Lonchura striata: one gene and its partners. The protein of the gene in region 2 interacts with the protein of the main gene of each other region in a pairwise test. Links are inferred from orthologs where the notes say so. Each region holds a gene or a part of one and is shown on either strand. Other genes may lie near its edges.

Region 1 (7,094 bases), on a different chromosome or scaffold from region 2:
CCATGCCAACACTCCAGCCCATGGAGGCTCTTCTGCTCATCCCAACCTTCCTGTGCCCCCTTCCACCATTCTCAGGTTGTTCCTGAGCTCCATCCCAGCATTCTTGTGCCCGATTCCAAATTTCCTATGGCTCAGGGATGTTCCTGCGCCCCATCCTGACATTCCCAGGGCCTAGGGATATTCCAGTGCCCCATCCCAATATTCCTAGGCCCTATCCCAACATTCACATGCCCCATTCCACCATTCCTAGGAATGGGGCCATTCCAGGGACCCTCCTGATGCCCTTTCCCCCCATTTTCTCTCTCCCCAGTGGGGGCTCCCCTGGCCCCTCCCCCCCTGGAGATGATGGGGGCCCCCCCAGGACCCCCCAGAGGAGAGGTAAGACTAGGAGGAAGGGACTGGGAAAGCTTGGGGTGGGTTTTGGGGATTTGGGAAGTCTTGGGAGCACTTGTGGGGCTCAGAGGGTGTTAATGGGGTGTTTGGGGAATTTTGGAGGAGCTCAGGGCTTTCCAGGGGGCTCAGGGGGAGGTTGGTATCAGGGGATCTGGGAGGGTTGAGGAGTTTTGTGGGGGAGTTTAAAGGGGTTCAGGGGGTTCCAGGGATGTTGAGGCCTTGCTGGGGGGTTCAGGGGGTTTTGGGGCTGTAACCCCCCGACCCTTTCCCTGCAGAGGAGCTGAAGCCGGAGGGGGGTCGGGAGAGCAGCTCCAAGGGCCGGAGCTGCAGCCGCGGCCCCACGGGAATGGGGGACCCTGAGAGGTGAGACCCTCCCAGAGCCCCCTCCGGAGCCGGGAAACCCCCCCGGGCACCGGGAATTTCCCCGGGCATTGACCTCTGACCTCTGTTCCTCAGGAGGGACCCCCGGAAGGAGCACGAGCCAAAGAAACTGGAGGAGACCCCCCCCTCCGTAAGGATCTGGGGCACCCAGAACAGGGGAGGGACCCCCCTCAAATCCCGGGTTTGGGGGGTTTTGGGGAATTTTCACCATAACTGATGCCCTATGCCTCCAGTTAACAGGGAGGGCTGTAACTCCTGTTCGGGGTGAGTGAACCCCCAGGGGACTTCAACCCCTCAAATCTCATTTTTTGGGGTATTTTGGGAATTTTCTGCTTCACTGCCCCTCTCCCTCTGCCCACCTTCACAGTTCAGCCTTGAACAGTCTGAAACTCCCTGGGGGAGGGCTGTGAACCCCTCTTTTTGGCGTGCATGACCCCCTGGGGGTTTTCATCCCCTTCAAATCTTGTTTTTTTGGGAGCTTTGGGAGTTGTTTTTTTTCAACAGTGACACCCCCCTGGCCCTCCCAGCTCAAACACCCTGGCAATTTTGGGATTTCTCTGACCCTTTCTGAGGGGCTGTGACCCCCTGGTTTTGGGATGTGTGAGCTCCTGAGGATATTTATCCCCCTCAATTCCCATTTTTGGGAATTTTTCCTGGTTTTCCCCGCAGTTCAGCCATGCCAGCAAATACGCCGCGCTCTCTATGGATGGGGAGGATGAAGGTGATGATGAAGAAGGAGCTGAGTAGAAACTTCCTCCCCCTCTTCCTCCTCCTCAGCTGCTGCAGGAACCTCTGGAGATTCCCAAAAATCCCAACCTTGATCCAGGCGAGACAGAAATAAAGCCTAAAACTCATCAATTCCCTCAGCTACAGCTTCTTAAATCCTGAAAACAACCCCACACAGAACGCACGGGAATCACCCCAAAATCAGCACAGGGAGCGGGAGGGGTAATTCCAAGAGTTTTCTTGAAAGAAAAGCAGCTCCTCCCTCCTTGTTTTCCATGGAATAAGGGGTGAGGAAGAGCTGGCCTTCATCCTCACTGGAGCCCCTCCAAAACAGGGATAGGGAGGCAACCAATCCCCCCCAAATCCTCCGGGGTCTGGGATCCCCCTCTGCCCCCCTTTTTCCTCACCTCTGGAATGTTGATTTCCCCCTGGGCACCTTCATCATCCTCCTGCTCACAGGTGCCCCTCCAATTCCCCCACCCAATTTTTGGGATGCAAATCCCACCCTTTACACAGGAAAACCTGAATTTCCACCCCAGAACCTCAAGATACTCCGAGATTTTGGGATTTGGGGTGGGCTGTAAAATTGTGTAAAAAGAACCTTCCCAGAGGTTTTGGGAGGTCCTGGGGGAGTTTTGGGGTCCCCAGGGGGGCGTTTTGGGGTTCTCCCCCAGGTTGGGGGCTGTTTTGTTTTCTCCAATAAAATGAGCTGAAAAAGATCCAGAAAGGCCCCAGATCTTTCTGCCCTTCTCCTCTTCACCTTGAAGGGGAACAGGGCAGTTCCCAAAGCCCTCCAGGGGGAATTTCCTGTCCCGACATTGGCCTTCCTCTCTCTGGGCTTCCTTTTTCTTTCTTGCATCCCTTCTTCATTCCATCTTTTCTCCTTCCTCATCCTTCATTCCTTTCTTACTGCCTTTCCTCCTTCTTCATGTTCCTCCTTCCTTCCATCCTCTTGCTCTTTCTCCTCTTCCTCTTCCACTTCCTCACTTCTTCACTTCCTCCTCCTCTATCATTGCATCTCCTGCTTCCCCTTCTCCTTCCTTTTTCCACCTCATTTTCTTCCTCTCCTTTTTTCTTCTTCTCTGTCCTTCCTCTCATTGTTCCTTCTCCTTCCTCCTTCCATCTTCTTCCTCCTCATCCCTATTTCTTCATCCTCTTCCTCCTCCTTTTTAATTTTTCCTTCACCTTCATTCTGATTCTTCTCTGCATCCTTCCATTCTTACTCTTCCTCCACCCTCCGCTGATTAACGGTAATTAATTTGGGGTAATTAATTGGGGATGCAGGCACATCACCGAGCCCCGGGATCCCACCCCCTACCCCCCGCCCTTCCTCTTTCCCGGCTCTTCCCAACCGCTGGAATGCTGGAACCCGCCTCCCCCACCGCTGGAATGCGGCCCCCCCCGGGGCGGCTCCGGCCCCACAAAGGGGGGTCTGTCCTGGCCAGGGTGAGGGGGGAGGACCCCAAGGGCCGGGAGAAGGGGACCCTGACAACCCCAACCGGGAGGGGACCTATCAGGCCCCTCAATCCCCTCTACACACCTCAAGTCCCTCAAACCCAAATCCTCTCCCTGCACCCCAAAAACCTCTTCCCCAATTCCCCTGCTGAACCCAAATTCTCTCCCTGCACCGCAACCCCCCCTGCACAATAACCCACACCCCAAACCAGCCCTGCACCCCAAAACCCTCCTTGCACCCTGATTCCTCCCCTGCAACCCAAAACTTCAATAACCCCCACCCCAACGCCCCCCAAAACCCCCTCTACCCCAATTCTTCCCCTTGAAACGAGCTTCCCCCCCAGGAGTCTCACAAGGGAGGAGTTTGGGGTCCCTGCACTCCCTGGGGACCCCATCCCGGGATTGTGTGGGGTCCCTCGAGCCCCTCCAAACCAACATCCCCGCCCCGAGTTTGGGGGTACCATGGGCTGAGGATCCCCTTTCCCAATGAATCTGCAGGTCTCGTGGCGGGGGGGTCTCAGCTTCCCCCTTCTCCTTGATTTTGGGGGACCCCATGGGGTGGGTCCAACCCCCCCTTTTTCCCCGAGTTTGGGGGTCCTGGGGGGCCGCGGCGCGGGTTAGCGAGGGGGCGGTGGGAGGAGGAGGATGAAGAGGGGGCGGGGGCAGCTCCAGGAAACCGTCGGGGGACTCGGGAGGAATTTTGGGGGATCCTGGAAATGAGACGGGGAAACTGAGGCATGGTCGGCAGGGGGCGGTGTCATTCCGTGTGTCCCCCGTGTGTCCCTCTCCTTGTCTCCCCTGTGATCCTCCCGGTGTCCCGTGCCGTGTCCCCTCCGTGTCCGCCCCGTGTGTCTTCTCCGTGTCCCCCGTGTCGCCTCCTTGTCTCCCGTATGTCCCTCCTGGTGTCCCCTCCCCGTGGCCAGACGTGTCGCTCCCGTGTCGTCCCGCCCGTGTCCCCCCCGTGTCCGTGTCCCCCCCCGGCACGGGAAGCGGCTCCGGGCTCGCGGAAACGGCCCCTCCCCGCGCGCCTTCGGCCACGGAGCCGCTCGCGGCACCCACGGGCAGCCCCGAGACGCCCCCCGGGAGCGCCTGGGACCCCCCGAGGTCCCCGCGGAGCCCCCCCATGAAGCCCCCCGGGGCCGTGGGAACGCTTCTGCGCGCGCTTGGCCGCCGCGATGGCCCCGACACGGTAGGACCGGGGCAAGGTCCCGGTGAGGGTGGGTGAAACGGAGGTTTTGGGGGAGTCTGTTTATTCCGCGTACCGCTTCATGGGGGTCCCGCGTAGGGTGGGGACCCCCCGTGGGGAAGCGAGGGCTGGGTGCGGGGGCAAAAGCGGGGGAACCCCCCCGTGGCGCCCCCGCGGGGTTCCCCCGCTGTCCGCTCCAGCCGCCCCCTACCCACGCGTGACGCTGGGTGACCGGGGGGGGGAAGTCGAGTCTGACCCTCCTCCCCCCCCTCGCCGCCCCTCCCCATGTTTTCTCATGCTCACCCCTCGCCTCCACTTTCCCCTTTTCCCCCATTTTCCCACTTTTCCCCGTTTTTCCCGCGTCCCCCACCGTGCCCCCTCCCCCCGCACAGACTCCCACGCCCCTCCCCCTCCGTGGGAACGGCGGGGTCGTCCCAGGGGTCGCCACTTCCCGGGCTTGTCCCTGCCCGCTTCCTGCGGGACTCGATGTCCGTGGCCGGAGGCCAGAGGGGCCGGGGGGGACACGGGGGGGACACGCGGGACGACACGAGGTGGGGGACACGGGGAGGCACAAGTGGGAGTGGGGCTGACACGGGAGCGACGAGGAGTTACGGGAGGGACAAGCGGGGAGAGACGAGGGGACACGGGGGACGTGGGGGAGTTACTTGGGGGACACGGGGGTGGCACGGGGAGTGACATGTAGGACACAGCGGTGCCATGGGAGAGCACGGAGGTGACGCAGGGACGACATGGGGGGGACAGGAGTGGGATCCGAGAGGGGATACAGGGGACACAGGGGAGGACGGGGAGGGGGACACAGGGGAATACTGCGGGTGACAAGAGGGGGACATGATAGGGACACATGCGGGGACACGCGTGGCGTCATGGAGGGACACGGGTGACACGGAGGAGACGCGGTCAGTGAGAAGTCATGGAGGGAACATGGAGGGACACAAGGAGGGACACGGGTGACACCGACTGACACCTGAGGACGCATGAGGGGACCAGAGGAGGACTGCTGTATACAGGGGGGTGACATGAGGGGACACGGAGGTGACGCGATGAGAACTGGGTGGGACTGGGGCCGGTACACAGGGGGGTCACTGAGGGGACCCGGGGAGGCCAGGGGGGGGTTCACAAAAGAAACACAGAGGGTGACACGAGGGGACATGGAGGGGAAACGAGAGGTGACATCGGGGAGGACATGGAGGGGACAGGCGGTGACCGCCCCGTGTCTCCCCAGCCGAGGCCGTCCCCAGCCGCCCCCCACGCGTTCCGCGAGCGGAGCCTGCGCCGGGGGGCGCCCTGTGGGGGCTGCGGGACCCCCCTGGGACCCCACGGGCTCGTGTGCAGAGGTGACACCCCCGGGACAGTCCCGGGACATAGGGAGGGGCTGGATGGGGTGGGGAGGGGGTACTGGGGACAGTGGGGTTGGGACTGGGAGGTTACTGGGGCCAGTGGAGGTACTGGGGGCGCTGGGAGGGCACTGGGAAGTCACTGGGAGCATTGGGGGGTTACTTGGGCGGTTACCGGGGTCACTGAATTGGTCACTGGAGGCAGTGAGCGGTTACTGGGAATACTGGGAGGTTGTTGGGGGCAGCGGGAGGGTATGGGGGTGTATTTGGGGCCCTGGGGGGACGCTGGGGAAACCCTGAGGGGACCCTGGGGGTTTCTGATGTCGCCGTTGTCCCTCCCAGTTTGCAAAGTCGCCGCGCACAAGAGATGTGAGAGCAAGGTACGACGTGGGGCGGGGACGTCACCCAAGGGCGGGGGGGGCCCATTTGGGGCTGGGGTCCATTTGGGATGATCCCCGTGTCCTCCTCCAGGTGACGTCACCGTGCCAACCTCTGCCCCCACCGGAGCTGGTGAGTGGGGGGGGGGGCGCGACCTCCCCAGAGCCGCCGGGCAGGACCCGAGACCCCTCAAATCCCCCTCGAGACCCCCAAACCCCTCGGGCATGACCCGAACTCCCGAGGCACCCCCGGGCAGGACCCTCTGAGCTCCCCTCGGGACCCCCAAACTCCCCGGGCAGGATCAGGGACCCCACGGAAGGGCTGAAACCATCCCAAGCCCGCCCCGAGCAGGAGACGGGACCCCCCCCTCGGGACCCCTAAACACCCATGTCAGGATCCGGTACCCCCGATATTCTCCCTGGACCCTGAACCCCGCAAATCCCCCTCGGGACTCCAAACCCCGCCGGGCAGGCCCCATCCCCGGTGGTCGGGCCCCCCCTCAGACCCCGCCGTGTCCTTCCAGAGGCGGAACACGGCTCCGGTGCGGCGCAGCGAGCGCGTGGTGAGACCCCCGAAACCCCCAAAACCCCCTCGACTCACTGACACCCCACCCCTCCCCGTGATCCCTAACCTCCCCCGGGAATCCCCAACCCCCCTCCCAGGACCCCCCTAAACCTCCCCCCCGGGACTCCCAAAACCCCCCTGATCCTCCCCAGGATTTGGAGACCCCCCGATTCCCCCTCCCGACATCCTCATGACTCTGCGGTGTTTTGGGGACCCCTCTGACACCCCCCCTTGCCCCCCCCCACCCGTCCCTGACCCCTTATGAACCCCCCAGACCCCCTCCCGACCCCCCTCATGTTTTGGGCACTTCCCTGCCCCTCCCCTTGACCCCACGCGGGTGTTCCGGGGACCTCCCAACTGCCCCCGCCCCTCCCTTGACTCCCTCGACCTCTCCCAGTTTTGGGGACCCCCCCTGACCCCGCCTGCCTTGGCCCCTTCTCCGCCCCCGTGTTTGGGGACAGCCCTTAGCTCCCCCATGTTTTGGGTGCCCCACGACCCCCTTTTGCCCCCCCTCGTTTTTGGGGCTCCTCCGGGACCCTCCAGGGCTCCTCGCTCGACAGCGCCCCCCAGCGGAGCACCCTGCCCAGGTACGGGAGTTTGGGGGTGCTGAGGGGGGAATTTGGAGGTTTTGGGGTGCTGGGGGAGCCCGGGGAGGG
Region 2 (7,559 bases):
AAACCAAAACTTTTTTTTTTTTAGCTTTTTTTTTGTTTGTTTCATTTTATTTTTTTTTTTCCAAAAGTTTTGGGTTTTTTTGGTCTGCAGGTTGCGGATCAGGCGGGCAGCCTTTCCTCCCTCCCCCTTTGCCTCCCTTCTGGACACCTCCCATGGCTGCTTCCATGCCCCCCTCACCCTCAGCCCCAGGACGGCACAGCCAAGCTTGTGCAGAGTCCTTGAGGATGGACGGAGGGCATGAGACCGGGAAAAAATCGTTTTTTTTAGGGAAGAAAATCGAAATTAAAAAAGATTTTTTTTTTTTTTTTTTACGTTCTGTTCCATGTTAGACTCTAGATAAATGCCAACCCAACAGCATCAACTAAAAATAATCGTGGTCACTGGAACGGACCGAGTATTTACATCACTCCCGCCGCTCCCCGCGGCAAGAGGCTGCACAGGACTGGCGAGCCGGGGCTTCCACACCCGCAGGGGCTGAGGGTCCCCGCACAAAGCTGGGGGGGCACTGGCAGGGCAGGAGCCAGCCTGCGCCTCTGCCCGGGGGGCAGCAGGGGACACGCTTGGCTTTTTAATTTTCTTTTCTTTTTTTTTTTTTTTTTAACTCCTCTTCTGTTGCGTTTAAAAAAATAATAATTATAATAAACCTGGTGGAGTGGTGCAGGAAGCAAATAAATATCAGTCAGTAGAGATGGGGGCGGCAGGACCTCCCCAGGACATCGCCACTGCTAACGAAGAGGGAGGAGGAGGAGGAGGAAGAGCCCAGAGTCCTGCCCGGGAGGCGGTGGGGAGTCCCCGCGTGGGGGACCAGCGGCAGCTTCGGGGGGATGGTGGCCGGTCCCTCACAAGACCTGGAAGCGCCAGGACGCCTGGTCCTTGTAGTCAAGGCAGTCGGGGGAGTTGAAGTTGAGCTTCCAGGAGGCGGCGGCGGCGGCGGGCTCCTTGTAGTCCAGGCAGTCGGAGGAGTTGAAGGGCAGCCCCGTGCCGCCGTAGCCTTGGTGGTGGTGGTGGTGGTGGTGATGGTGGTGGTGGCCCGAGCTCTGGCTCAGCGGGTGGTGGTGGTGGTGGCCCGGCACCGAGGAGGGCCCCATGGGGCTGAGCTGGTGGGGATGGTGGTGGGAGTGCATGGGCGCCAGGTAGGAGCTGCAATCCACGCCCCCGAAGTAGGACGAGGAGGGCGGCGCGGGGTAGCCCTGGCCGTAGCCGCCGCCCTGGCTGTAGGACACGGGGTAGGAGGCGGAGGCGGCCGAGGCGGCGGGGCCGGCCCGCTGCATGCAGGAGGCGGCGGCCGGCGGCAGCGGCTCGGGCACCGTCACCCCCGCGGGCGCCGCGCCCGGGGAGATGGAAGCGGGGCTCCAGATGGATGACGCCGGCGTGCTGAGAGAGGCCGGGGCGCCCACCGGCGCCGAGGAGGCCGAGCTGGAGGAGGAAGACGAGGCGGAGCTGGAGGCCGCTGCCGGCGGCGTGAACTGCCCGCTGCTCTCCGAGCCCGAGCTCTCCCGGGCGGGCGAGGATTTCTTCTTGGCCGGGCGGCTCTTGGCCCCGCCGCCGCTCTGCTGCTGCTGCCGGCACTTGGCGCGGCGGTTCTTGAACCAGACCTGCAGGGACAAAACGGGGCGCAGGGGAGCAAGGAGCACGGTGGGGTGAGCGAACAGCCCCGAAGGGCCTCCTCGGCCAACCACCCTCAGCCTGGCACCAGTTCTCCCGGTACCACTAACGCTGCGCACCCCTCACACCCCTAAATACAATCCCACATCCCACCCCTGCCCGGCAACCCGGGCACCCCACAGCCTGCCAAAAGCAAGGGTGGCCAGGGTCAAAGTCTGTGGTGTCCCAGCTCGTGCATATCCCTGGCACAGTGACAAAATATGGATTTGGGGGACAGATCCTGTGTTGGGGGCTGCCTGCATATCCTGCCCTCCTGGGTATCCACTGAGCAGTGCCCAAAGGGAATTCCTCTGGGAAGCACCCAGCTGGTAGGGCTGCTATACCCTGGAGCAGGTGGACGGTGACAGAAAATATATTAATAAAAATAATACAAGAGAATAAAAAATAAACGCTCCCTCTTTGGCTGAATGTGCCCACAGTGGGACAGACGAGCAGATGGGAGCCCACACACATCCCCATCCCAAGGAAAGAGGATGAGTGTGGATGGAGCAGCCGGTCTGAGCAGCGCCAGCTGAGCTGGGGTGGTCCTGCATCCCCATCCCACAGCGGTGCAGGATTCCCCCCGCAGGCCCGGTACCTGGACTCGGGATTCGGGCAGGTTGATCTTCAGGGCGACCTCCTCCCGCATGAAGATGTCCGGGTAGCGGGTCTTGGCAAAGAGCGCCTCCAGCACGTCCAGCTGCGAGCGGGTGAAGGTGGTGCGCTCCCGCCGCTGCTTCCGCGGGGTGGCTGCGGGAGGAGCACCACCACGGGGGTCACGCCGGGCCCCCCCGCACCTCCCGCACGCCCCGGCACGGGGGAGCCCCGGCGTCCCCGGGACAAGGGCTGGAGGCGCTCCCGAAGAGCGGCAGCGTCCCCGCACACCCCCGGCTGCCGCAGCGCGTCCCGCTGCCGGCAGGGCGAGGGGCGCAGGGCTGGGCAAGGGTCAGGCCTGGCTCCAGAGGGAGCCACGGCGAGATTTCGTTGTGTCGAAATTAATTACTTTTTTGTGTTGTTATTGTTCAATCTGAAAGTTTTTTATCCTTAAAAATCCCTGGGAAAACGAAGACATCCCGGGAGCAGGGGGAAAATCCAGCTAGACCCCAATGTCCCCAGGCAGGGGTGCAGGCAAACAACCAGCCCACCACCCACCCTGAGCCGTGCGGCCCCACCAGCTCCTCCAAACCCGCACGGATGGAAGTTTTCCCCCTCCGCTGGCTGGAGGGTGGGGGACTGGGGGGCCGCGGTGCGCGGCACTCACCCGGATACCCCACGGAGGGATGCAGCAGGTCCATGGCCGGGCCCGTCAGCCCCAGCCCGTTCATGCCGTAAGGGGGCTGTTTGAGGTAAGACATCATGCTAGAAGCCGGGCAGTTTTCCTCCAAAGTCCAGCAGGAAAAAAAAAATCAAAAATCAAATCGAATGTATGCGGTGGGGAAGGGGGAAATGAAAGAAAAAAAAAAAAAAAAACTGACAAAAAGAGCCCCCGAAAAAATCCCCAAATAAGAGACCAAAAAAAAAAAAAAATTAAAGCCAACGACAATTTTAAAACGGAGCACAAAGTCGGCGTGAAAAGAGTTTTTTTCGTTCAGTCCTGCCGTCACCGCCACGAGGTCCTCGAGAGATAGCAGGTGAAGTGAGAGAAAAATAAAAACGAAGGGGAAAAATAAAATCAAAATAACAACGAGGATCGAGAAGCAGGCGGATTTCTTCCCCGCGCAGAGGCGAGGCCGGAGCGCCTGGGGAGAGAGCGGAGAGAAGCGGGTGAGGCTTCGGCCGCCCGGGGCTCCCGCGGGGCTGCGCCCGCCCGGCGCGGGGGCTCCGCGCGGGCGGCTTCCGATTGTTAATTTTATTATTATTTTATTTTAAACGAAGGCGAGTCGCGCGCAAGTGCCGAGAGGCAACAGTGCCCGGCGATCGGGACAGATAAAGCAATTATTTAAAAAGATAATTGGATTAGGAATCAAAAGGAGGTATCAGAGGAGGGAAGTATAATTAATTTAAAAGCGAGCAGACGGGGACGTTTTAATTAGAAATGGATAAGAGTTAAAAAGGGGAAAAGGAAAAAAGAGCGCGCCGGCAGCCGAGCGGCGACAGCGCGGGCAGCCGGGACGGGCCGGCGGGGGACGCGGCACCGGAGACCCGGCAGCGCCCGGCCCGGGGCAAAATGCCGCGGATACCCGCGCAGGGGAGGAAGGAGCCGAGAGACCCCGGGCGGCCCCGTCGAGCCCCGGGGGCAGCCCCCGCTCTCTGACACGACTCCCCCCAGCCGGGGCGATGGGGCACCCGGGCCGCGGGGCGGGGGATGCCGGGCGGGGGTCGCGGGGCCCCCCGTAGGCCGGCGCCGGGCGCAGGTCGGGTGGCGGAGCCGGGACCCGGCGTTGCATAACTTTGTCGGGGACGCGGCGGAGCGGGCCCGTCCCGGCAGGAGAGAACGGGGAAGAGGAGGAGAATAAAAGTGAAGAGAAGAGAGGGAAGGAAAAAAAAAAAAATCCCGAGGCAGCCCCGGCCCGGCCGCCCTCACCACCCCTGCCCACGGCGCCGCGGGCCCGCTACGCTCCGTCCCGGCGCCGCCGCCCGCCCCGTCGGTGAGCGCGGTGCCCACCGCCCCCGCCCGCCTCACCTGCGCGGCCACCTGCGGAGCGACTGAGCGCCCGCCCGGCGGCCGCGGCGGGGGCTGCGCGGGGCAGCGCGGGGCGGAGCGGGCGGGGGGCGCGGAGGGGGCGCGGCGGGGGAGGGAGCGAGGGGGGCAGGCAGGTGAGAGGCGGGCTGGGGAGGGGGCCGGGGGGGCGCTGCCCGGGGCCGAGCCGCGCACCCCCGACTTGTCGGGGTACCCCGCGTTACCTTGCCGGCGGCCCGCGCTGTCGGGGCGATGGAGCCGCGGCCCTGATGAGGATTGATCACCTACCCCCGGCCCTACCCTTGTATGTGCGCGCAAAGCAACTGCGTAACCAGCCCGGCGCCAATCCCCGGCCGCTCCCCGCCTGACTGACAGCCGCCCGGGCAATGGCAGCGCGGGGCGACGGCTCCTCCGCACCGCCCCGCGCCGCTCCGCGCTCCCCCGCGCACCGGCCCCGGCGCCGCGGAGAGCCGGCCGGCGGAGCGAGGGGTGCAGGGGGCGGGCACGCGGGGCCCGCGCAACCTCCGCGGAGAGGGAGGGTGGTGGGAATTGTTGGAGAAGTGCGGAAGAGGGAGGGCCGCTCCGCGCCCGCGCAGCTCTGCCCCCTCCCTCCCTCGGGATGCCCCCCGCGCCGCTCCGCGCCGTCCTCCGCGTCCCTGCCGCCCGGGGAGACCGCAGAAAAACTTTCGGCCGCCGCCTCCGCCGGCACGGAGGGCGCTCCTGGGGAGGGGAGGCGGTGTCGCGGCCCCCCCACCCCGCTGCCCGCAGGCTCTCGCAAACTTTGTGCTTTAAAATCGCAATAAAACTACACCGACCGCACCTTTCCTCGCGTGTCCCGAATTTAGGGGCTGCTACGCGCCGTGGGGGCCGAGCGGGCGGGGGCCGCGCGGGAGCGGCGGGCAGAGGGGCGAGGTGACCCCGGGCCCTCCGCGCCGCTCCGCGGGGCTCCGCTCCTCGCTCCGGGCGGCGGGGTCGGGGCGCGGCGGGCGGCGGAGCGGCCCCGGACCTCTACAGAGGCTCCGGTGCGCGGCTTTTGTTGGTCTCCCCAAATCAACTCCCCCTAATTGCAGTGGAGCTGAAAGCGAGCTAATGTTCAAAGGCGCTGCCCGCCGGCCCCGATCGGAGCGCGGTCTCCCGGGGAAAAGACTTTCCCCCCATTTTATTTTGTTGTTGTTGGAGTTTTTTCCCCTTCTTTTCAATTCTTTTTCCTGTGCGAGGAGGGAACCGTCTAAGCCGGGCGAGAGGGAGCCGATGGAGGAGGTTAGCAAGCTCCTTCGCTCTCCCGCAAAAGTCAGCGACACGGGCACTTCTCCCCGTAACAAAGGCGCCGCGGCCCATTCACAAAAAAACGCAAAGGCAGGAGGAGGGCGCAGGAAGAGTTTGCGGGGGCAGTTCTCCCCCCTTCCAGCCCCTCTCCCCCGTTTTGCCCCGGTCCTGCCGGGGCAGTTCCTGGCTCGGGCTGCGCTCCCCCCGCCCCCCGCCGCCTTCCCATCACTTGGCCCCGCCGGGGCAGCCCCGGTCCTGGCGGGCAGCGGCCCCCCCGAGGCTTCCCCCCACACACACCAGGGGGTACCCATGCCCCCCCAAGCCTCCCGCAGCTCCCGCGGTTGCCCAACCCCAATTGCGGACGCCTCCCCGCAGGCTCGGCCGGGGGCTGCGGGCAGGGCGGGCGCGGGGCTCGCCACCCCCCCGAGGTGACGGTCCCGGCGACTCCGATCCCCCGTTCCCTCCGCCGGACGGAGCCGGCGCCCTCCCCGCTGCGCCCAGGTAAGGTCGGCGGCGGGGCGGGAGCTGCGGGCGGGCAGGGGCCGGGCTGCGCGACCCCGGCCCGGCGAAGGGCAGAGTTCGGTCCGGCGGCGGGGCGGGGGCTTCCTGCGGCCCGCTTGCCGGGCTGGGGGCGAAGGACGGGGGACACACGCACTTATTTTGCCTTCAGCCCACCGAGTGACTTTTTTCGCTTTAAAAGCGAGGCAAACACCGGCCTCCCCAGGAGGAGAGGATGCCCGCCCGCGGCCCCCCTCGCCCCAGGAGCAGCCCCACGCTTCGGGGCTCAGCGGCTCCCGGCGGGGCAGCAGCGCCGGGGGCTTTGCCGCCTCTCCCCTCCCGAGCCTCCGCAGCCGCGGAGCCCTCAGAGCGCGTTCCCTGCCGTCCCCAGCTCCTGTATTTGTACGGGAGGGCAGAAGAGCACGGCGGAGCCCGCTGCCCCAGCCCACCCCGGCGCCGGTGCGTTCCGCACATCTCCCCAGACTTCGCATGGGGCCAAATCCACCTGCGGGCCCCGGGGCAGCCCCCAGTTCCCCAGGCCGTGCATCCCGCGGCACCGGCGGCCGCTCGCACGAAACCGGGAGCTTCCCTCCTCCACGGGGGACTTCTTTTGGCGAGAGCGGCGGGGCGCAGCGCGGAGCGGGCCGCGGTCGCGCCCGGAGCCGCCGGCGCTGCTGCGGTGCCTCGCCCGCTCCCCGCGGGTGCGCTCCTTGCGCGCATCCCCCACGCCGCTGGCGGGCGGCATCGGCCCAGCGGAGAAAAGTTTTACCTCCCCCTCCCCGAGTTTCATTTTATTAAAATCCAACGAAAAACTTTTCCGTCCGGTGGGTTTCGTTGCGTTGGCGAAGCGGCGGCGTTCGGGGCGGCCCGGGGCGCGGAGCCCCGCTGCTCCCCCCGCGGGGATCGGGCCCCTCCCGCCCCCCGAGCCCCCTCCCCGGCCGACTGAAGGCGGGCGGGGTGAAGGGAGTTTCCCAGGTAAAGAGGAAAGCGGCAGTTACGGTAAGAAAGATTCGGGTTTTATTGAAAATTTTATATATGACTCGGTGTTGTAATAAATAAACGAGACGAGCTCCACGAAGGGACGATGCGAGCGCGGGACACGCTTGGGGGCACACGGACGGGGCGGGGTGCGGTGGGGAACGCGGCCGGGCGCAATAAATAACGCGGAGCGGGCGGCGCGGGCCGGCCCGGCCCGGTCCGAGGGAGGACGCGGCTGGCAAGTGTCGCGCTGTCCTGGGCCGGGCCGGTCTCTGCCCCGGGCTGCCCCACTCCGCTCGCAGCCGCTCCCAGGGTCTTGTGCCAGCGCTTGGGGGAGAAGCCCCCCGAGTAAACCAGAGCAGCTCGGCTCTACTCTCGGGGAAATGTAAAACTGATGTAATAAACCACTGGTAAATACAGCACATTTTTAATAATAACTGGGGTGGATCTGACCTAACTATAAAATGTAGGTAGCTTATTAAGTATTACATATGGCAGGACTAGATGAAACCATTCCCAATGATTTTTTTTTTCCTATATCCCCCTCTCTAAT
Region 3 (7,970 bases), on a different chromosome or scaffold from region 2:
TAAAGAATAAATATATATTTCACAAATCTTAACATGCTTCATGATTCTCACATAGCCCTGTTTTCACTCATGTGTCCTTGATACAGAGCAAGGTTGAAAAATATATTAGCAGACTTCAGTTTAACAATAAAGAAACTTACTTGGGTAAATACATCTTTTCTAAGTTCTTTTTCCCCCTACAAAAAGTTATCTTGCATTAAGATAAAAGGTGCTGTAACAACAGCACAGAAAGGCATTCATCAGCACATCCCAATGGCTCTCCATCATTCCAGCACTGCAGGAATAAATCCAGTATTACCAGTTAACACAGTCTGCTATATATATGATACATGTCTCAACTAGTTGAGGAACAGGAAAACACTCACTATCAGACATCTATCATAAATATTCTCTTCACTATTTCAAATACATCATGTACCTCCATTCCTACCATAATACAGATTTCAGGAACAAGTATGAAACACCTTGGACTTTTAATTCAGTTGTAAGTAAGGATCTCTATTTTCACAGTGCTTTCAAATTTTTTGCCGTAACAAGAGAGAACCTCAAATTTTCAGCAACCAGGTGATGTTACTCCTTTCTACTAAGCTATCAAAACTCTGCTGGTGTGAAAACAGTTTACCCAATTATTTAAAAAACAATGTTAAAAAAAATATTAGCATTGCTGGCAGCCTGCTTCAAACAGTGAGTTTAAGGAGAAAACTTAGTGCTAACCAAAAGCTCCACATCCTCAAGAGGCAAAGACTTATGTTTTATTTGGTTAATATTTAACTGCTTTTCTTTAATTGATTTTAATTACTCAGCTTAGAAAATACTCACTTCCATTCTCTGTTGGGTGAAATCAAGTAATGGTAAATGTCTTTCTGATGTTAATACGTAGTCATGGAATTGACATTTTTCAAACACAACATTATGACTCCTATGTAAGATCAGAAAGGATATGACAACAGACTATGAAAAGAGAGCTTCTGTTTAAATACACACACAGCAGAAGCAGTCAGCAACTCTTCAAACTGCAGAGCCAGGGAGAGATCAACCCAGTATTTGCTTAACTGCTGATCATTTTTGTCAGTCCTTCAGAATGCATGTGTGCTTTTATACTGGCAAGACAAATTCATCACGTACACAGGACTTCACCTATTCCTTATATCTACCAAATGAATGCTATAAAAGAGATCTAACTTTTAATAATAAGCTTCTGGATCAATAACAAAAAAGTTATAGGCTGTACAAAGGTAAAAGTGGACAATGCTATTGATAAATGCTAGTAGTTTACTGTTAACACCTGGCACAGTAAATAAAGTAGATGAAGATCAATTGCCTAATTTTGGAGGCACACTTTGGTATTTCATTGCTCATTCAAAACCTAAAGAACAAAAAGTACTTTAAGGAAGATCTTAAAGTAATAATGAGCTAGTAACTATTAATGAACAATTATCAAGTTAGCCATCCTTCAACCACAAGGCCCTTACTAGTCACAGTCAATGCTTCGAAAGCTTCTCCAACATTCCACTAACGGGTCTTCATCTTGTCTTGCACAACTTACCTTCAAGTCTTAGAGAAGAAACCAGTGTTAGCCTCCATTTCAGTTTGTACTTTTCATTTGCTAATGTGAAAACTATTTGATTGTGGTTTTGCTCAGTTTTTCAGAAACAGACTAAGGCTGCTGCCTTATTTTCAGTGAATCACTGGAACAGCTTTTGTTCACAATAAACAATCATAAGCTCAACACACTGACTACATGCTTCTACTCTTTCACAGGGTCTCCTTGGCCTCCAGCCACATTTGTCTTCTAACTTTTCAAATCTCTCTCAGTCTATCCATAACTTCCTGTTTTTAACTAGACAGCTAACTGCTATCAGCTATTAGCATTTGTGTCAACCTAATAATAAAGCAACAATGCACCCAAGTGCCAAAAAAACTTGTCAGTCAGTATCTGAAAATCAATATAGTTTATGAGACTCAGAGAAGCAGACCACAGTATGTCTTTTATATCTGTACTGCAAACCTAGTACTGCTGAACTCTGAATACAAAATAAACCGAAAGTTTGTACTACTGTGCCTTGTCTCCAGGTTTGTATTTCAGCTTCTGACACTATACATTGTAACTGACAACTACTACACTTCAACGGAGTGAGACTGACAGAACTGATGGAAGGAACAATATCCTCATCTCTTACATTATTGAGAAGTACTACACAAGCTCGTGGTCACTTCCCGCTAGACTCAGATACCAAACACGCACAAAACGAAGTTGCTTCCATGTCAAACACAGTGAAACAACACACACCAACCACCACATAACTTTACACGTAGGTATCTGACTAACTGATGCCTTCTCTTTGTTAAAGTCCTCAGAGGTATATCAGCAGCCACAAGTTAAGTGGGAGTCGGTAAGAGGCACATAAACAACCTTGTTCAACAGTCCAGCCAGTCATGTGCTGGCACATAGCTGTTATACAGAGAACACAGGCACCTTACTTCCTGACAGCTCATCATTTTGGGCAAATACTTCACATTCCTCTGCCAGTCACAGCCCAAGCCAGTCTCGTTTCCTCAGCGCCTACTTAGAGGTTCGCACCTGCCTGCGAGTTTCCTGGCGGCTCGGTGGGGCCGACAAGAGCCCCCTCGCAGCTTCACGGGCGTGGGGGCAGGGCAGCAGCCCCGGCCCGGTGCTCCCCACGCCCACCCCCCGAATTGCCCAAGCTGTGCCCAGGAGCTCGGCGCTCCCGGCCGCCCCCGGCCCGCCGCCCGGGCCTGCCCCGCCGCCCGCCCCGGCCGCGCAGGCCCCGCGCGGCCCTTACACGGTGACATGGCCCGAGCCGCGCACCACCACCGGGTCGGGGGAGTACTTCAGGAGCTGCTCCTCCAGAGCCCGTTCCTCGTCCTCCTCCTCCTCGTAGATTTCATCGAAGTCCGCCATGGCCGGGCCGGGGCGTCCGATGAGCCAGAGGAGCCGGGGCGACGCGACGGGAGCCGGCCAGGGAGGCGGACGGGAGGGGGGCGGCCCGGGGCCGGGCCGGGCCGGGCGGCAGCGGGGCCGCGGCGGCGGCAGCGGCTGAAGCGGCGGCGGCTCCGGGCGGGGACGCGCCCGTCACCCTCCGCGGGGGGAGGGGGCGAGGGGCGGGGCAGGAACAACAACAACAACATCCGGCCGCGGGCCCGCCCCGCTCCCGGCCGGCCGGCGCGTGGGGCGGCGGTGCGGGGAGCGGGCCCTCCCAGGGGCGCGGAACGGCTGCAGCGACCGCGGCGGTCATCGGGTCCAAGCCCTGCTGAAGGGGGTCTGCCTAGGGCACGGGGCAAAGGATTGTGTCCAGACGGTTCCTGAGTATCTCCGGTGAGGGAGACTCCTCAGCCTCTCTGGACAATCTGTTCTGGAGGGTGGTCACCTGCACAGTAAAGAAGTTCTTCCTCCTTCCACACCGCGCTGGAACTTCCTGTGCATGAGATTCTGGCCGTTGTCCCTTTTCCTATTGCTTGGCACCCCTGAGAAGAAGCTGACTCCATCCTCTGACATCCTCTCTGCAGATTCTCATAGATACTGATTAGGTTCCCTCTCAGACATCTCAATGCTGAACAGGCCCAGCTCCCTCAGCCTTTCCTCACAAGAGAGATGCTCCAATCCCTTACTCATCTTTGTTGCCCTCCACTGGACCTGCTCCCAGAGCTCCAAGTCTCTCCTGCCCTGAGGAGCCCAGAACTGGACGCAGCACTCCTGATGCAGCCTCACCAGGGCTGAGCAGAGGGGCAGGATCACCTGCCCTTCCCAATGCAGCCTGGAATACCATTGGCCTTCTTGATCACAAGGTTTTATCCCTTTTCTGAGCATCCATGAAGCCCACGGCACAGGGGGTTGGGGGGTGTATTTGGACATCTGCTGTGAGCTGAGGGGTTGCCCATTGGTCCCTCTGGTTTAGTACATGGAGATGTGGGGAAAGTGGCCCCTGGCCAAGACTGACCTGCTGAAGGCTGAGACCAGGTGTGTGCATGTCCCTTGGTACTGTCAGTTCCTGGATCTGCCATTCCTCTGGCAGCCTTGAATCCTCCGTGGAAAGCATCATGCTTAGGCCACTGTTTGCAGAGGAGACTAACAATGAATTTGCAGAGTAGCAGCCCATTTAGGACTACGTTGATGAATGCTAAGCAGAAAACCCTAAAAATTGCAGGAATTCTTCTCTCTTGGCAGTTTTGGTATTTTTCGTAACCAAAACTTAGAACAAAGACTGGGAAATGCCATTGTGAGCATAATGGCCTTAGCAACAGGTAGGCCATCAGCTCTTGTGACAACAGTGGAAGGCAATGTGACACAGGATATAGCACTAGTAGGATGACATTTTAAAAAGGGGGAGAAGATCTTTTTTATTTGACAGAGTAGATTGTTGGATTGCCTACTTGCAGCAGTAGCTAATATATAATGTCAGAGGGTTCAGCCTGAAACAGTAAAAAAAAAAAAAAAAAGGTAAATCTGGGAATCATAGGAATCATAGAATGCATTTTACAGAAAATATAAAAACTGCATCTTTCCCTCACAGTAAATAATTTTTTGCTATGTCTAATACATGTCCTTGTAGAAAGTCCCTCTTCATCTTTCTTGTAGGCCTTCTTCAGGTATGCAAGGCCACATTCAGGTCACCTGAAAACCTTCTCTTCTCCAGGCTGAACAACCCCAATTCTCTCAGCATTTCTCCACCCCTCTAATCAACTTGGTGGCCCTTCTCTGGACTCGCTCCAGCAGGTCCGTGTCCTTCCTGTATTGCGGACCCCAGAGCTGGATTCAGTGTTCCAGGTGGGGTCTCATGAGAGCAGAGGGACAGAATCCCCTCCCTCCCCTGCTGCCCACGGGGCTCTGGGTGCAGCCCAGGACACGTTTGGGTTTCTGGGCTGTGAGTTCCCATGGCAGGGTCATGTCCAGCCTCTCGCCCACCAGCACCCCCAAGTCTCTCCCAGCAGGGCTGTTCTGGATCTGTTCATCCCCAGCCTGGGTTGGCAGGGGTGGTTGCCCCAACCCAGGTGCAGCATCTTGTACTTGGGCTTGTTAAACATCAGGAGATTCCTATGTACCTATTTCTCATGCTTGTCCAAGTCCTTCTGGATGGAATCCCATCCTCCAGGTGTGTTGACCATTCTTCTCAGCTTAATGTCATCTGCAAATTCACTGGAAGTGTACTAGATCCCTTTGTCTATGCCATTGATGAATATATCAAGCAGTGCTGGTCCCAGTACAGACTCCTGAGGGATATCACTTACCCCCGATGTCCATCGGGAGCTGTTGACCTCCACCTTCTGGATGCAACCATCCAACCACTTTCTTATCCATCTCACAGCCGACCCCTTAATTCCATCTCTCTCCAATTAAGAAAAAAGGATGCTGTGGGCTTTTACAGGCTTTACGGAAGTCCAAATAAATTACATCTGTAGCACTCCCATTGTCCACTTTCGTAAGTGTGAAGGGAATTCTGCATTCCTCTTTATTTTCCTAGTACTTTACATATCTTATTTACAATAGCCTCCTTTTCACATTATAACTTTTCCTTTGAAACCTGCAGCTCTTTTTTCCTGGCTTGTTTCGGTATATCATAGAATCATAGAATGTTTGAGTTGAAAGGGAACTTAAATATCATCCAATCCTCCTGCCATGGGCAGGGAAACTTCCACTAGACCAGATCACTCAGAGACCCATCCAAAGTGCCCTTGAACACTTCAACATCCTCAAAGGAAAGAATTTCTTACTAACATCTAAATCTAAACCTATTGTGCTTCAATTTAAGGCCATTTCCCCTTCTCCTATCATTACAGGCCCCTGTAAAAACTTCCCCTCCAGCCTTTTGTAGGCTCCCTTTAGGTACTGGAGGGCTGCTGTGAGGTCTCCCCAGTGCTTGTCCAGGCTGAAAAACCCCAGCTCTCCCAAAAGAATAAAACCAACCTATTTTCAATGGAGAGGTGCTTGATCCCTCTAGTCATCTTTGTCGCACTCCCCTGAATTCGTTATACTGATTAGTTTATTTTCTGAAAGATTACATTGCCATTTACTCTCCATTACTCATAAAGATCCTCATGGTGTATTTCTCAGGTGTAGAGTGTATATAAAGATGTGGCAATGCTGACTGGGTAAACCAGGGTAGAAACAGTGTGGTTGTGAGAGAATTCATAACACTGGCTTTGCTGCAAAGGAGAAAGCAGCATTTTGTGCTGTCACACTAGAAGTGTGACAGTATTTCTATCATGAGCTACTTGCAACAGGTTTCATTTCCTAAATAACAGAATTCTACAGAATAACACAGAATTCAGCTGAGTAATAATGCACTTTCATACTAGTATGCTTAACTCATGTTTAATGCACTTTTCATACTAGTATGCTTAACTCAAACAAATGTTTGAGTTACCAGATCCCTGTGCTGTGTGGCATGACAAGCTTGGTTAACTCACTTGGTGGATTTGATAAAGAGAAAGAAAGTCTCATGCCTCTCAATCTCAATTTAGGTGTATATTACTTGCCTAACAAATGCTGGTTCCACAGTCCACAGTTTTCAGGTGTTCAGTATGTGGCAGCCTTTAAAAGATAAGGAGCTGTGGTAGGTATAATGTAGAAGTTCTAAGTTTCTAGGCTGAGGTGCCCATGATGCTTCAGCATGTGTTCACAGCACCTGGTGTGCTTGAAGCCTTCAGCACTGGACTCAGCAGTACTGGACCACCCTCAGAGGCTGCAAGGAGACTCATCATTTTGTGCAGCTTGTTCTACCACCTGCACTGAAGAAGGCAGACCTGTCCTTTGTTTCAAGAAGTATCAGTGAGCTGTCACTTCTTCTCCACTGCTGATGTGTCCCTGCTATGTGCCAGCCCTGCCACCAGCCATGTACTTCCAAGTCCATGTTTTTACATCACAGAGTTTGCTTGTGATTATTTTGGTGTCTACTCTGACCCAACACTGTGGGACTCCCACTTACAGTTCATTATCCTTTCTTTGGGAACAGTGAGAGTAATGCCAGGCTGATACTAATTGCATTTTTAAGCAACTTAACTCTCATTATATCTAAATAAAGATATTAGCCTTAGAGTCCAGACTGGGGAGCATTGTGCTGCTGTTCCAGGTAGGAATGCCCTCCCTCCCCAGTGAATTTCCTTACTGCAATAGGGGAGAACTGATACTATGTACAGATCTCTCTAACAGAGGTACTCACTGTTCTCAGAGTTCTCTGTAAGAATTGCATATTGTAATCTAAAGGAGACTTTAAATAATTTCTTTTTTTGCAACTCTTTATTCCAGTTCCCTGTCTTCTGGTTTCTCCTTTTTTTTTTTTTTTTTTTTTTTTTACTTTCCTTCCCTTTATTGTTTCTCCCTCTCCTTTTTTCTATGTTTCTTTCCCAGCTCCCCCTTTGTAATTGCTTCTTTCCCCTGCTTTCCTCTGAGATCTTTCAGTTGTTACTCACCTCATTCCTCCCACAGTCTTTGTCTTGTTTCTCCCTGTCTTTTCCTTGTTAATTAGTACATTGTTGGAACTTCTGAAGGAAATTGTTTCACGCAACAGGGCATCAAAGAACAAGCAGCAGGTGCAGGCGTAACCTTGTTCTTTGAACTCCTACCACTACTCAATAGCAAAGCAAAGCTGGCAGGAACAGCTTCTCTTTCCCTGATTAATTAAGAGAGGTAGCCAGAAGGAAAACAAGAGTGGGTGGTGATAGCAAGGAAAGGGGGCAAGCAGAAGCCAGAGGAGACAAGATAGAAATAACATACACTGCAGAGGGAGTTTAACAAAGCTACAGAACTGTAGCAAATCTCCAAGGGCACTCACATCAGGCTGTGCTTTTCTTAATGACCTGGTCTGCTCTGAGACCTTGTCATCAGTCCCTTCCCTTGACACAGACTCCCTCACCTCTGGGTTGGCTCCTCTGTCCTGCTTAAATGTCATTGCTCATGACAAATCTGGATAAAGTGTATCTGATAATGTACATGTTTCTGCTAATGGTAAAAT

Evidence for each region. The genes of interacting proteins can lie anywhere in the genome.
Region 1: the proteins of OTX1 (region 2) and TNS2 interact in binary tests that used the Homo sapiens proteins (3 or more experiments, as listed by UniProt). The two-hybrid records come from large-scale screens. The link is inferred for Lonchura striata from reciprocal best matches to the Homo sapiens genes OTX1 and TNS2.
Region 3: the proteins of OTX1 (region 2) and CHIC2 interact in binary tests that used the Homo sapiens proteins (3 or more experiments, as listed by UniProt). The two-hybrid records come from large-scale screens. The link is inferred for Lonchura striata from reciprocal best matches to the Homo sapiens genes OTX1 and CHIC2.

The regions. Positions count from the first base shown.
Region 1 is NC_134629.1:4,650,024-4,657,117, reverse strand, and holds the start of TNS2 (tensin-2), read left to right. Parts: upstream 1-4,078; coding exon 4,079-4,144; intron 4,145-5,384; coding exon 5,385-5,496; intron 5,497-5,838; coding exon 5,839-5,876; intron 5,877-5,967; coding exon 5,968-6,006; intron 6,007-6,397; coding exon 6,398-6,493; intron 6,494-6,981; coding exon 6,982-7,025; intron 7,026-7,094. Other genes in the region: EIF4B (eukaryotic translation initiation factor 4B), read left to right, coding at 311-378, 669-756, 850-904, 1,444-1,521. UniProt on the Homo sapiens protein: Tyrosine-protein phosphatase which regulates cell motility, proliferation and muscle-response to insulin. Phosphatase activity is mediated by binding to phosphatidylinositol-3,4,5-triphosphate (PtdIns(3,4,5)P3) via the SH2 domain.
Region 2 is NC_134605.1:867,682-875,240, reverse strand, and holds OTX1 (homeobox protein OTX1), read right to left. Parts: upstream 3,003-7,559; coding exon 2,906-3,002; intron 2,395-2,905; coding exon 2,243-2,394; intron 1,596-2,242; coding exon 840-1,595; 3' UTR 34-839; downstream 1-33. UniProt on the Homo sapiens protein: Probably plays a role in the development of the brain and the sense organs. Can bind to the BCD target sequence (BTS): 5'-TCTAATCCC-3'.
Region 3 is NC_134606.1:26,941,569-26,949,538, forward strand, and holds the start of CHIC2 (cysteine-rich hydrophobic domain-containing protein 2), read right to left. Parts: upstream 3,017-7,970; 5' UTR 2,924-3,016; coding exon 2,805-2,923; intron 1-2,804.